Linked DNA regions of Macaca fascicularis. The protein of the gene in region 2 interacts with the protein of the main gene of each other region in a biochemical or structural test. Links are inferred from orthologs where the notes say so. Each region holds a gene or a part of one and is shown on either strand. Other genes may lie near its edges.

Region 1 (4,321 bases), on a different chromosome or scaffold from region 2:
GTGGAAGACATGTTAAAATGAAAGGATGAAGCATCTGCAAATCTTCTCCCCAAAAAAGTAAAATAGAAAGAAGTAAGCTTGCTCTCACCTCAATAATCTCTTTCTCTTCAATTCCTCTGCAGGTCACCTCCTCCCATCTCAATTTTCCTTTCTTTTGTCTGCCCTCATTCCCTTGGCAAGTGAACATTCTCTCTCTCCCCCATTGCATCTCTTAAAGAAGTTACCAGCTGGTCCCCCTCCCCCTCAGCTTGAAGCAGGGTCTGAAGCAGAGTACACATGATCAGGGAAAGGAGACAGGGGTTCTGTGAAATGCTTTGAGCTCTTTCAGAGTTGGGGGTGATGGCCAGGTGCAGCAGCTTAGGCCTGCAATCCTAGCACTTTGGGAGGCCGAAGCAGGCAGATCACTGAAGCCAGAGGTTCAAGACCAGCCTGGCCAACATGGCGAAACCCTGTCTCTACTAAAAACACACACACACAAAAATGAGCCAGGCCCAGTGGTGCATGACTGTGGTCCCAGCTACTTGGGAGGCTGAGGTGAGAGGATTGCTTGAAACTGGGAGGCAGAGAGGTTGCAGTAAGCGGAGATCACGCCACTGCACTCCAATCTAGATGACAGAGTGAGACCCCATCTCAAAAACCAAAAACAAAACAAAACCCTTTCCCCGAAAAAAACAGAGTTGGGCTAGGCCCACAATTACTAGAGAAGAGAAAGGCAGTGTGATGCTGGTGGTATAGAGCAGAAAGCAGGAGAGGCAGCTATGGCAAGGTCAAGCAAAACAAGAGGGAATGGGAGACAAAGATGGAGGGGCAAGACACAGACTGAGGGGGACAACTTTGGGGTCCCTTGCAGAGGAAGGAATATTCATCCTGCCCTTTTTGGAGTGTGGAAACCTGAGAAGTTTTGAGGGTCCTCCCTAAACCTGTCCCACCTGCTTCCCTTTCCTCTCCTGAGCTTCATTGTTTACAGAGATCACTCCCTGAACTCTTGCCCTCCTGGACTTGCCCTAGCTTCGGCCCCAGGCCTCCGACCAGGCAGACACCCTGACAGGTTACAAATGAGCGTGGGTGTTGGATTGCGCCAAACTCTTGCCCTCGAGTTGCCTGGAGGAGGAGAATCAATGAGCTCTACCTAAGGGCTTCTCTTCTAGTCCCATCTGGGTTTGGAGTCTGAGAAAGTGAAGAAGACACATCCCGTGTCCCTCCACAACAGCCACACAGAACAAAAAGGGGCGAGATGCCACTCCTCACTCCGGAGTCTTAGAATTCAGAGCCACGGGGCCTCCACCCTGATTTTCCCACTCTCTAACCAAACTCCCTTTATCAATTCTAGAAAAATCACTGAAATCTGGAGTAATCTTTAAGATTTAACTGGTATTAAATTTATGCATCTGAGGTTTGGAATTTTTTTTTTTTAGAAGGAGATGGAGGGTGGTGAAGGAGAGACAGGTAGGAGGGAACCAGGAGATTACAGGTCTCTACTAGTTTTAAACACTTCAAGAAGAGAATAAAAAATTCCCCTCCTCTTCACCTCCCTGTAAACATCACCTGGCTGTGCTTATTGTGGCTCTCTAGAGAGATATAGGGAGTTATTTAAGTCTGAGTGAGCGAGCTAGCTACAGCTATGGATGGCTAGAGAGAGGATAAATACATCTAGAGAGATGAGTTGATGGATAGGTAGGGAACGAATATAAATATGGAGAAAGATGGACGAACAGAGAGATGGATTGAGACAGAGAGAATATAAAGAGAGGTTGAGGGAGAGAAATGGATGTGTGAATGAGGACAGAACATTTATGCAAAGAGAGAGAGAGGGAAGATGGGGCATTTCTCATCCTTTTCTCCACATTTCTGTAGTCCTGCCTTGCTCCCTGAAATGCCATTTTCCCACCCCGGCTTCATGAATTCTTCCTCTAGATTCTAGATCCTGCCCCACACCCTTAGGTGTTTTTGCACCACCTCCCCCAACCGCCCTACCACACAGTAATCCATTTGGCCCAAGATAACATACCTCACCCGGCTGTCCTAGCCCATCACCCTAAGACAAATTGGAAGAAAGGAACATGGTTCGGGAGTTCTGGGCAAAGTAAGGAAGCTGGATTCCCTACCTCCGGGTCCACAGACTTGGGGGGAAGATTTCTTTGAGGGGTAGGAAGAGTGAGGGGCAGCTGGCTTGAATTTGTCCCAATCTAATAACCCAGGAGCCTATTGAAGGCCTTGGGGGTTGGGAGGGAAGGAAAGTCTTGAATATTCTCCTAACTTTTTCCCCCCTCCCTCTAGTCCCTTCTTTCCAAAAGTCTTTGAAGAAAGATGTTTTTGACGCTTCCATGTCGCTCTCAGATGGATGGGCTGAGGGTGATTGAAGTGTCTTTGTCATGCTAATGCTTGGGGGGTGATGGATGGGCGCTGGGGCTGCCAAACTCTGGCCCGCTTAGCCCATTGGCCTGGGAGAGATCACATGTGCCCCCTCACCCCCACTCCCTACCCCCTTCCTAGGGAAGCGCTGGCCCAGGCGAGCGGGCCAGGCCATGGATTCGAGCCCCAGCGCTGTGACATACTGCCGAAAGGTTGTAGGGCAAGAGGGTGTCTCCCCCAAACGGGCCGACCCTCCTGTGGCCTTGACGCATGGACTATAATAGGATGAACTCCTTCTTAGAGTACCCACTCTGTAACCGGGGACCCAGCGCCTACAGCGCCCACAGCGCCCACAGCGCCCCAACCTCCTTTCCCCCAAGCTCGACTCAGGCGGTTGACAGCTATGCAAGCGAGGGCCGCTACGGTGGGGGGCTGTCCAGCCCCGCGTTTCAGCAGAACTCCGGCTATCCCGCCCAGCAGCCGCCTTCGGCCCTGGGGGTACCCTTCCCCAGCTCCGCGCCCTCGGGGTATGCCCCAGCCGCCTGCAGCCCCAGCTATGGGCCTTCTCAGTACTACCCTCTGGGTCAATCAGAAGGAGATGGAGGCTATTTTCATCCCACCAGCTACGGGGCCCAGCTAGGGGGCTTGTCCGATGGCTACGGAGCAGGTGGAGCCGGTCCGGGGCCGTATCCTCCGCAGCATCCCCCTTATGGGAACGAGCAGACCGCGAGCTTTGCACCGGCCTATGCTGATCTCCTCTCCGAGGACAAGGAAGCGCCCTGCCCTTCAGAACCTAACACCCCCACGGCCCGGACCTTCGACTGGATGAAGGTTAAGAGAAACCCACCCAAGACAGGTAGGGCTCAGATGTGGCCACCCCTTCTCCGGGGCCCAAAGTATCTCTGCTTCCCCTGCAGTGACATGTCCTGGGCCTGGGCTGGGTTCTTCTCTTTCAGCGGCTCTGGTAGACACAGGTAAGAGCACAACCCATGTCTCAGGTCAGGTGAGGTCTCCTCACCCAGTATGTAACCGGTCACCCCAGGAGTAAGTTTCCATACACACCCCACTTCCTGATCTGTGCACCCAGCACAGGCCCAGGACCTGGTGTGCATCGGGGGATGGAAGTATGGGGAAGGCTGCTCTGGACTTGATGATCACCATGGGGGTACCTGGGTCCCTGGGAACTTTGACAACTGTACTTGGGCAAAATGGTGAATGGAGGTCCAGAGCCAGCCCCGGGAGGAGGGAAGGGGAAGGAGGAAGAGGTGAGAGAATTGACCTGGGCTTTCTCCCTGCCCCGCCCCTAGGGAAGGTGTCAGAGCCCGGCCTGGGCTCGCCCAGTGGCCTCCGCACCAACTTCACCACAAGGCAGCTGACAGAACTGGAAAAGGAGTTCCATTTCAACAAGTACCTGAGCCGGGCCCGGAGGGTGGAGATCGCAGCCACCCTGGAGCTCAATGAAACGCAGGTCAAGATTTGGTTCCAGAACCGACGAATGAAGCAGAAGAAGCGCGAGCGAGAGGGAGGTCGGGTGCCCCCAGCCCCACCAGGCTGCCCCAAGGAGGCGGCTGGAGATGCCTCAGACCAGTCAACATGCACCTCCCCAGAAGCCTCACCCAGCTCTGTCACCTCCTGAACTGAACCTAGCCACCAATGGGGCTTCCAGGCACTGGAGCGCCCCAGTCCAGCCCTATCCCAGGCTCTCCCCAACCCCAGGCCTGGGCTTCACTGGCCTGGGGATCCTCTCTAGGGCTGAAATGCCAGTTTAGAGCTGCCTGGGAGTAGGAGGGGGGATGGGGAAACATTTTTCTCAGACTTGGGTGACTGGGGGCCCTACACGACCAGTGGCCTGGGAGGCATGGAACCTGTCAAAGGTAGAGGGAAGGGCTTCTGCCTTTGATCTGGGGATCAACTCAGTGTCAACATGAGGTGGGGGTGGGGGCCAGCCTCATCCTCCTGGATTCATTCT
Region 2 (3,648 bases):
ACTTTAAATTAGTTCAATTAGCACTTTTTCTTTTTTAAGGCAGAAAAATGCTTTTATTCAAAAAAAGTGATTTTCTCCTTTTTGGCAACCTGTATGTGAAAAAGAATTCTGTGGGCTTTTGTTTTACCATTTAGCAGCTGTTCTTGCTTAAGAAGTGCCACTTTTCATCTCCTGAGGGAGGTCAAGCTGTTGGGGGTTAATTTCAGTCAGTTCTGTGCCCTCTTCTCCAGATGCCTTTTAAGAATGTTACGTGCATTTACATGGGGATAGAATGGAAAGAACATGATAACTTATTTTTAACTTATGGCTGCAGAATCTCTGTGTAATTGTGAGGAGCTCATTTGTGTAGAAGAGAGAGACTGGGTTTTGTTGTCGGTCAGACCTGAATTAATACCTTGGCTCTGTTACATACCAGCTGAGTGACCTTTGAGCTCTGTTCTTTATCGGTAAATACAAATAATCATATCCACCTCAGTAGTTGTGAAAAATGAATAACTTGAATTGATTGCCAAGAGGGAGGGGTAAGGCCCAGTGCCTGGAACGTGGTAAGAAGAAAGACCAAGCTGTAGTAGCACCTGCCATGTGTTGGGCGCTGTGCTGAATGCTGTCTTTGTGTGGTCTCATCTCTTCCCTACTCTCACCCTGTGAAGTCAGTATGACCCTCTTCACTTTCATTGAAGAAGCTGGTCAAAATTACCCAGCTGATATTCAATTGACCCAGGATTCAAAACCAAGATGGGGCTGGGCGTAATGGCTCACACCTGTAATCCCAGCACTTTGGGAGGCCAAGGCAGGAAGATGATGAGGTCATGAGTTAGAGACCAACCTAGCCAATATGATGAAACCCCATCTCTACTAAAAATACAAACATTAGCCGGGTGTGGTGGTGTGTGCCTGTAATCCCAGCTACACAAGAGGCTGAGGCAGGAGAATCGCTTGAACCCGGGAGGTGGAGGTTCAAAGTGAGCCAAGATCACACCACTGCACTCCAACCTGGGTGACAGAGTGAACAAACCAAGATGGCCCGAATTTTGAAACTTTATGCTCCTCACTACTCTGCAAAAATATCCATGACCACTCTTCTGTTTGGTGCCCAGATGGTACACAATGAAGTATTGAGCAAATGCTTTTAGTTATGGTTTTGGCATCCAGCCCCTTTTAGTAAATGTGCTCCAATTCACCTTTTGCTCAAAAATTTGTCTTCTCCCAGAAGTAGATTCTATTCTCTCCCATTTTATGTTTATTTGGTGTGAGCCTTTTTGTTATTGTTTCCTTTCTCTTTACAAAGGCGGAAGAGACGGAATTTCAACAAGCAAGCGACAGAAATCCTGAATGAATATTTCTATTCCCATCTCAGCAACCCTTACCCCAGTGAGGAAGCCAAAGAGGAGTTAGCCAAGAAGTGTGGCATCACAGTCTCCCAGGTAAGCAGCCCCTCAAAAGCCTCAGCCTGTAGCCTGGCCATGGTGGGGCCTCCAGGGCAGGCTCTTGGAGGTCTTGCTTTACTGGACATTCATGCCTTGCAAGTTCCATCAGCTGTAGCCTTAAAATATCAAGGTAAGCACTTGATGTATATGTGTATAAGTGAGTTTCTAGGTAAGTACTTGGCAAAACTTGAGAAGGACCAGCAGAAGGAAGAGAAGAATAAGTAGAGTACAGTGTAAAAACAGGGTTAGGGTTCTTTCCAACAAGCACTCCTTTGCTTCAAATGGGTGAGGTGTCTAAAGTGTACTAGGGAAGTTACCTGCATTCCTCATGCTGTTTTTTCAAACTCAGTCAATTCCTTAGCCATTTTTTGCCCAACCCAGGAACTTTAAGAGTCAGTGAATGGAACTAGTTGTTATATAGCCTTTTAAATGAAAGGAACTTAAATGTCTCCTCTTGATGTGCTGACTCTCTAACTGATGGAGTGTAGGAATTTTAACATGTCACTGCGATTACATTGGAATGGTTGAATAAAATGTCACTGAATGCGCCCTTCCCCCAAAGAGCAATAACCATAACAGGTGGTGTCTGTTGACTTGGAAAGATACATGATATAAAATTGTTATAGGCCTAGAGTTTTCAATATGAATATGAAGCAGAACAGTAGGCAATATTTATACGTACGTACATTTTGTCCGCTCAAAAGATCCACCCAAACTTCTTATTCAGTCTGAACCTCAAATACCACCACTGGTTTCTAATTGAGACCTATAGTGATAGTTCTGAAATCTGTCGAAGAAAGTTTTTCTTAGAATTTGGTCACATGCAGGAGAATTAAATGTACAGGTATTTCCATTAAAACTGGGGAGGGGAGGGAGTAGTGAAGACTACTGTAGTGAGAAATTTCACTTACCACTTTTCAAATGAAGCAGATGCTCCTTTATATAAACTAAGCATCTGTACCTCCTTGAATTGAATCCTGATTTCTGTTGATCCCTGCAGGGTGCTGATCCCATCAACCTGTGTTTACCTATACAGAATTAGGTCCAGTCAGAATATAGAGCTCCACAAAAGGTATTGACAATGAAGGGATTGGCCGAGCCTCCCCAACAAACTAAGATGATTTTACAGCAGCAAATATCCTTGAAAACATTCTTTCAGATAAAGCAGAAAGAATTGACTCCTTTTTAACTTGGGCCTTCCTTAGGTGCTTTGACCCAGCTGAAGGTCATTTTCAGTCTTGACAATTCTGGGAAACTGGAATGTCAGTGGTGAAATTCAAGTAGCCTAGTTTTTTCTAGGGCTATCACCATTCTTGTCCAAATCTAGACCCCTTGTCCACAAAAAAAGGGAATTAATGCTTTTTGATACTTGCTGCATGTTTCAGGAATGCTTCTAGGTATGGACCACAAACAAGGAGCAAATATTAAATCAGTGAATTTTATCCTGGAACCTTCTGCGTTTAAAGTAGAATTAAATTACTGCTGTCTGAATTCCAAGTGTGGAATTCAGAATTTCAACTCCGTGTTGAAGGTAAAAGGAATTCTCCTGGAGGTAATTTGTAGTATAGCTGGATACAAGTTAAAATCCTGATCTGTTCCCACAACCTTCACTTCCTTCATTATGGAAACTCAAGGTACAAATAGTGTGTCCATTAAAATGCTTATTTACATATTGTGTCACCTTTCCCTTTCCTCTGCCCATGCCAAAGTCATGCCATTCTTTCTTCCTCATCACATCTGTCTCTCCCCAAAGCAACTAAGCTACCATTGTTAAACAAGTCCAATGGGAGACAATATATGATATCATAGAAAGAGCATTAAGCAAGGAGCATATTTTTGACAAGAGTCAACTGTGGGATCCTAGGGAACTCACTCTTTCTTTTTGGGTCTTAGTTGCCCCATCTACTAATCATGGTTTGTTGGATCACATGATTTATTCAATCTTTCTCCTAGTTCCCAAAGCCAGGGAATACCTCTTGGACTGTATCATTATTGTCTTTTTTTGAAGTCACAAATTCTTTTGAAATCCACTAAAAGCTATTGAAACCCCATGACCCAAAACAAAGATATGCTGCCCATACACCCAAATCTATCTGAAATCCGCCTGTTGACTGTATCTCCCCAAATCCCTAAAGAGCCCCTTGTCTATACCAGAGCTACTCGAAGTGTGATCCACAGAAGGCAGCATCAGCATCCCCTGGGAGCCTGTTGGAAATGTAAA
Region 3 (3,648 bases), on a different chromosome or scaffold from region 2:
AATCTCAGCTACTTGGGAGGCTGAGGCAGGAGAATCGCTTGAACCGGGGAGGCGGAGATTGCTTTGAGCTGAGATCGTGCCATTTCACTCCAGCCTGGGCAACAAGAATGAAACTCTGTCTCACACATACACACACAAAGATGTTATTTCTAATACCTAAAAAAGTTTTAGAAAATAAATCTATAAATTTATTGACATCACTCTGACACTAAGACCAAAGACAATACCAGGAAAATACAGGCCAGTATCCTTCACGAACTTCGATGTAAAAATCATCAGTGCAATATTAACAAATCAATTCTAGCAATATGTGAAAAGAATAATACATAGCGACCAAGTCAAGTTTTTCCTGGGAACGCCAGACTGGTTTAGTATTTAAAAGTCGATCAGGCCGGGCGCGGTGGTTCACCCCTGTAATCCCAGCACTTTGGGAGGCCGAGGTGGGTGGATCACCTGAGGTCAGGAGTTCTAGACCAGACTGGCCAACATGGCGAAACCCTGTCTTTACCAAAAAATATAAATATTAGCCGGGTGTGGTGGCGCATTCCTGTAGTCCCAGCTACTCTGGAGGCCGAGGTGGAAGAATCACTTGAACCTGGTAGGCTGAGGTTGCAGTCAGCTGAGATCGTGCCACTACACTCCAGTCTGGGTGACAGAGAGTGAGACCCTATCTCAAAAAAAAAAAATAAAAAATTTTTTTTTAAAGTTCAGCGTAGAATTACATACAAGTCAGCAGTTCTACTTCTATGCATATATATACCTAAGACAAATGAAAAAAGTCCACACAAAAACGTGTACATGAATCTTCATAGCAGCACTGCCTGTCATGGCCAAAAGCTGGAAACAGTGCCCGTGCCCATCAACTAATGAATGAACAGACATATTATGGCATCTCCATGCAATGCAATAATATTTAGCAGTAAAAGGAATGAAGTGGCAGGTGCAGTGGCTCATGCCTGTAATCCCAGGACTCTGGGAGGCCGAGTTGGGCAGATCACTTTAGGTCAGGAGTTCGAGACCAGCCTGGCCAAAAATGGCGAAATCTTATCTGTACTAAAAATACAAAAATTAGGCCAGGTGCGGTGGCTCACGCCTGTAATCCTGGCACTTTGGGAGGCTGAGGTGGGCAGATCATCTGAGGTCAGGAGTTTGAGACCAGCCTGACCAACATGGAGAAACCCCATCTCTACTAAAAGTACAAAATTAGCTGAGTCCTGGTGGTGCGTGCCTGTAGTCCCAGCTACTCGGGAGGCTGTGGCAGGAGAATCACTTGAACCCAGGAGGCAGAAGTTGCGGTGAACTGAGATCACGCCATTGCACTCCAGCCTGGGCAACAAGAGCGAAACTCTGTCTCAAAAAATAAAACAAATTAGCCAGGCGTCATGGCAGGTGCCTGTAGTCCCAGCTACTTGAGGGGCTAAGTAGAAGAATCGCTTAAACCCGGGAGGCAGAGGTTGTAGTGACCCGAGATCCGGCCACTGCACTCCAGCTTGGGCCACAGAGCAAGACTCCGTCTAAAAAAAAAAAAAAAAAAAAAAAAAAGGACTGATACCTGTCACAACACTGGTGAGCCTTGGACACATTATGCTGAGGGAAACAAGCCAGACACCACGGTCACATGTTATAAGATTCCCATTCATACGAAATGTCTAGAAGAGGCAAATGTATAGAGATAGCAAATAGGTTCTAGTCGGCTGGGGTTTGGGAAACAATGGAGAATGACTGCTATTAGATACAGGGTTTCTTTGCAGGGATGATGGAAATGTTCTAAAGTTGACGGTGGCAATGACTGTGCAACTCTAAAAACCGTTGAATTGCATACTTTAAATGGATGAACTGTGTGGTATGTGAATTTTCAACCAGCAGAGGTGTTAGGTGAAATAGTGCAGGCGTACGTGCAAAGACATTCTCATGGAGATGTAGAACGTAAATGGATTATTTTTGTCTTTTCTCCTCAGGCATCCACTATTTCCATTATTAGCTTTGTTGTTTGAAAAATGTGAACAATCTACACAGGGCTCCGAAGGCACAACTTCTGCCAGTTTTGATGTAGACATCGAAAATTTTGTAAGGAAGCAAGAGAAGGAAGGGAAACCTTTCTTTTGTGAAGATCCAGAAACTGACAATTTGGTAAGTGAAATAAATTTTATTTTTCAAAATGTGAAATATGTTTATGAAATTTTAGGCTTCTAAGTAGAACTGTAGACTGCTTGTAGTTCTGCTAAAGGACAGACTCATACAACTCTAAAAGAACTAATTTTTATGGTGTGTGTAATGTGGATATGCCCGTCTTCCAGCCTTCTCTAGGTATCTTTTATTTAGTTAGTTTTTATTTTTAATTTATTTTATTTGTGTAGACACATCTTACTGTGTTCCCCAGGATGGCCTCAAACTCCTGGCCTCAAGCAATCCTCCCTCCTTGGCCTCCCAAGGCCAAACCTACCCTTTCCTTTAAAAATCAAATAAAGACTGGGTGCAGTGGCTCACGCCTGTAATCCCAGCACTTTGGGAGGCCAAGGCGGGCAGATCACGAAGTCAGGAGATTGAGACCATCCTGGCTAACACGGTGAAACCCTGACTCTACTAAAAATTCAAAAAATTAGCCGGGCGTGGTGGCGGGCACCTGTAGTCCCAGCTACTCAGGAGGCTGAGGCAGGAGAATGGCATGAACCTGGGAGGCGGAGCTTGCAGTGAGCTGAGATCGCACCACTACACGCCACTACACTCCATCCTGGGCGACAGAGCGAGACTCCATCTCAAAAAAAAAAAAAAAAAAAAAAAATCAAATAAAACAGGCCGGGTGGGGTGGCTCACTCTTGTAATCCCAGCACTTTGGGAGGCCGAAATGGGTGGATCACAAGGTCAGGAGTTTGACACCAGCTTGGCCAACATGGCAAATCCCCGTCCTTACTAAAAATACAAAATTAGCTGGGCGTGGTGGCACACGCCTATAGTCCCAGTTACTCAGGAGGCTGAGGCAGGAGAAGCACTTGAACCCAGGAGGCAGAGGTTGCAGTGAGCCAAGATTGTACCACTGCACTCCAGCCTGGGTGACAGAGTGAGACCGTGTCTCAAAAAAAAAAAAAATCAAATCAAATAATTTGAGTCGCCATGCCAGATGGACACGGGGATTCGGTTCTCTCTGCACAGCGTTTGTAAAGGTCCGTAGGGCTGGGGTGTTCGGGCAACATGTCTGTGACCTGCGTCTGTCCTTGGTTTATCATAGACATGGACACAGACTTGAGTTGTATTCTCCAAGACAGCTCTGTCTAGAGGCTGACAGTGATTTGTGGTGCCTTCCTCCCAGGGCCAGGGCTCCAAGATCCAGCATTTTCTGTGCCCTCCGGAGGCAATGGAGAACTCCTTGGTTCCGTCATCACTGGATCGCTCTGAGCGAGCTGCGCCTGAGGCACCTGTGCAGCGCTGCCAGCTTGGTCTGGGCAGGCCACACTCTCTGGGTCTGCTCTCCTGCCAGAGCGTAACCACCGTGTTTGCTTCTCAGAGCTGGGTACATAAAGATCCGGCGTCAGGGAACCTTCACTGGATTCCCTTCGAGCCATCTTGGTCCCATATCAAAACCCTGGTTAGGGCCTTCAACAGAAAAGGTTTTCGGAAAACTAATTTTTCCTGAATAAATTGCAGAGGTCT

What was found.
Region 1: the proteins of PBX1 (region 2) and HOXB1 are reported together in a solved structure, tested with the Homo sapiens proteins (2 studies listed by BioGRID and IntAct, with this or other methods). The link is inferred for Macaca fascicularis from reciprocal best matches to the Homo sapiens genes PBX1 and HOXB1.
Region 3: the proteins of PBX1 (region 2) and PKNOX1 form a complex in vitro, tested with the Homo sapiens proteins (2 studies listed by BioGRID). The link is inferred for Macaca fascicularis from reciprocal best matches to the Homo sapiens genes PBX1 and PKNOX1.

Annotation. Positions count from the first base shown.
Region 1 is NC_088390.1:58,186,919-58,191,239, forward strand, and holds the start of HOXB1 (homeobox protein Hox-B1), read left to right. Parts: upstream 1-1,406; 5' UTR 1,407-2,622; coding exon 2,623-3,208; intron 3,209-3,659; coding exon 3,660-3,988; 3' UTR 3,989-4,321. UniProt on the Homo sapiens protein: Sequence-specific transcription factor which is part of a developmental regulatory system that provides cells with specific positional identities on the anterior-posterior axis. Acts on the anterior body structures.
Region 2 is NC_088375.1:22,595,838-22,599,485, forward strand, and holds part of PBX1 (pre-B-cell leukemia transcription factor 1), read left to right. Parts: intron 1-1,288; coding exon 1,289-1,424; intron 1,425-3,648. UniProt on the Homo sapiens protein: Transcription factor which binds the DNA sequence 5'-TGATTGAT-3' as part of a heterodimer with HOX proteins such as HOXA1, HOXA5, HOXB7 and HOXB8. Binds to the DNA sequence 5'-TGATTGAC-3' in complex with a nuclear factor which is not a class I HOX protein.
Region 3 is NC_088377.1:4,023,152-4,026,799, reverse strand, and holds part of PKNOX1 (homeobox protein PKNOX1), read left to right. Parts: intron 1-1,958; coding exon 1,959-2,130; intron 2,131-3,648. UniProt on the Homo sapiens protein: Activates transcription in the presence of PBX1A and HOXA1.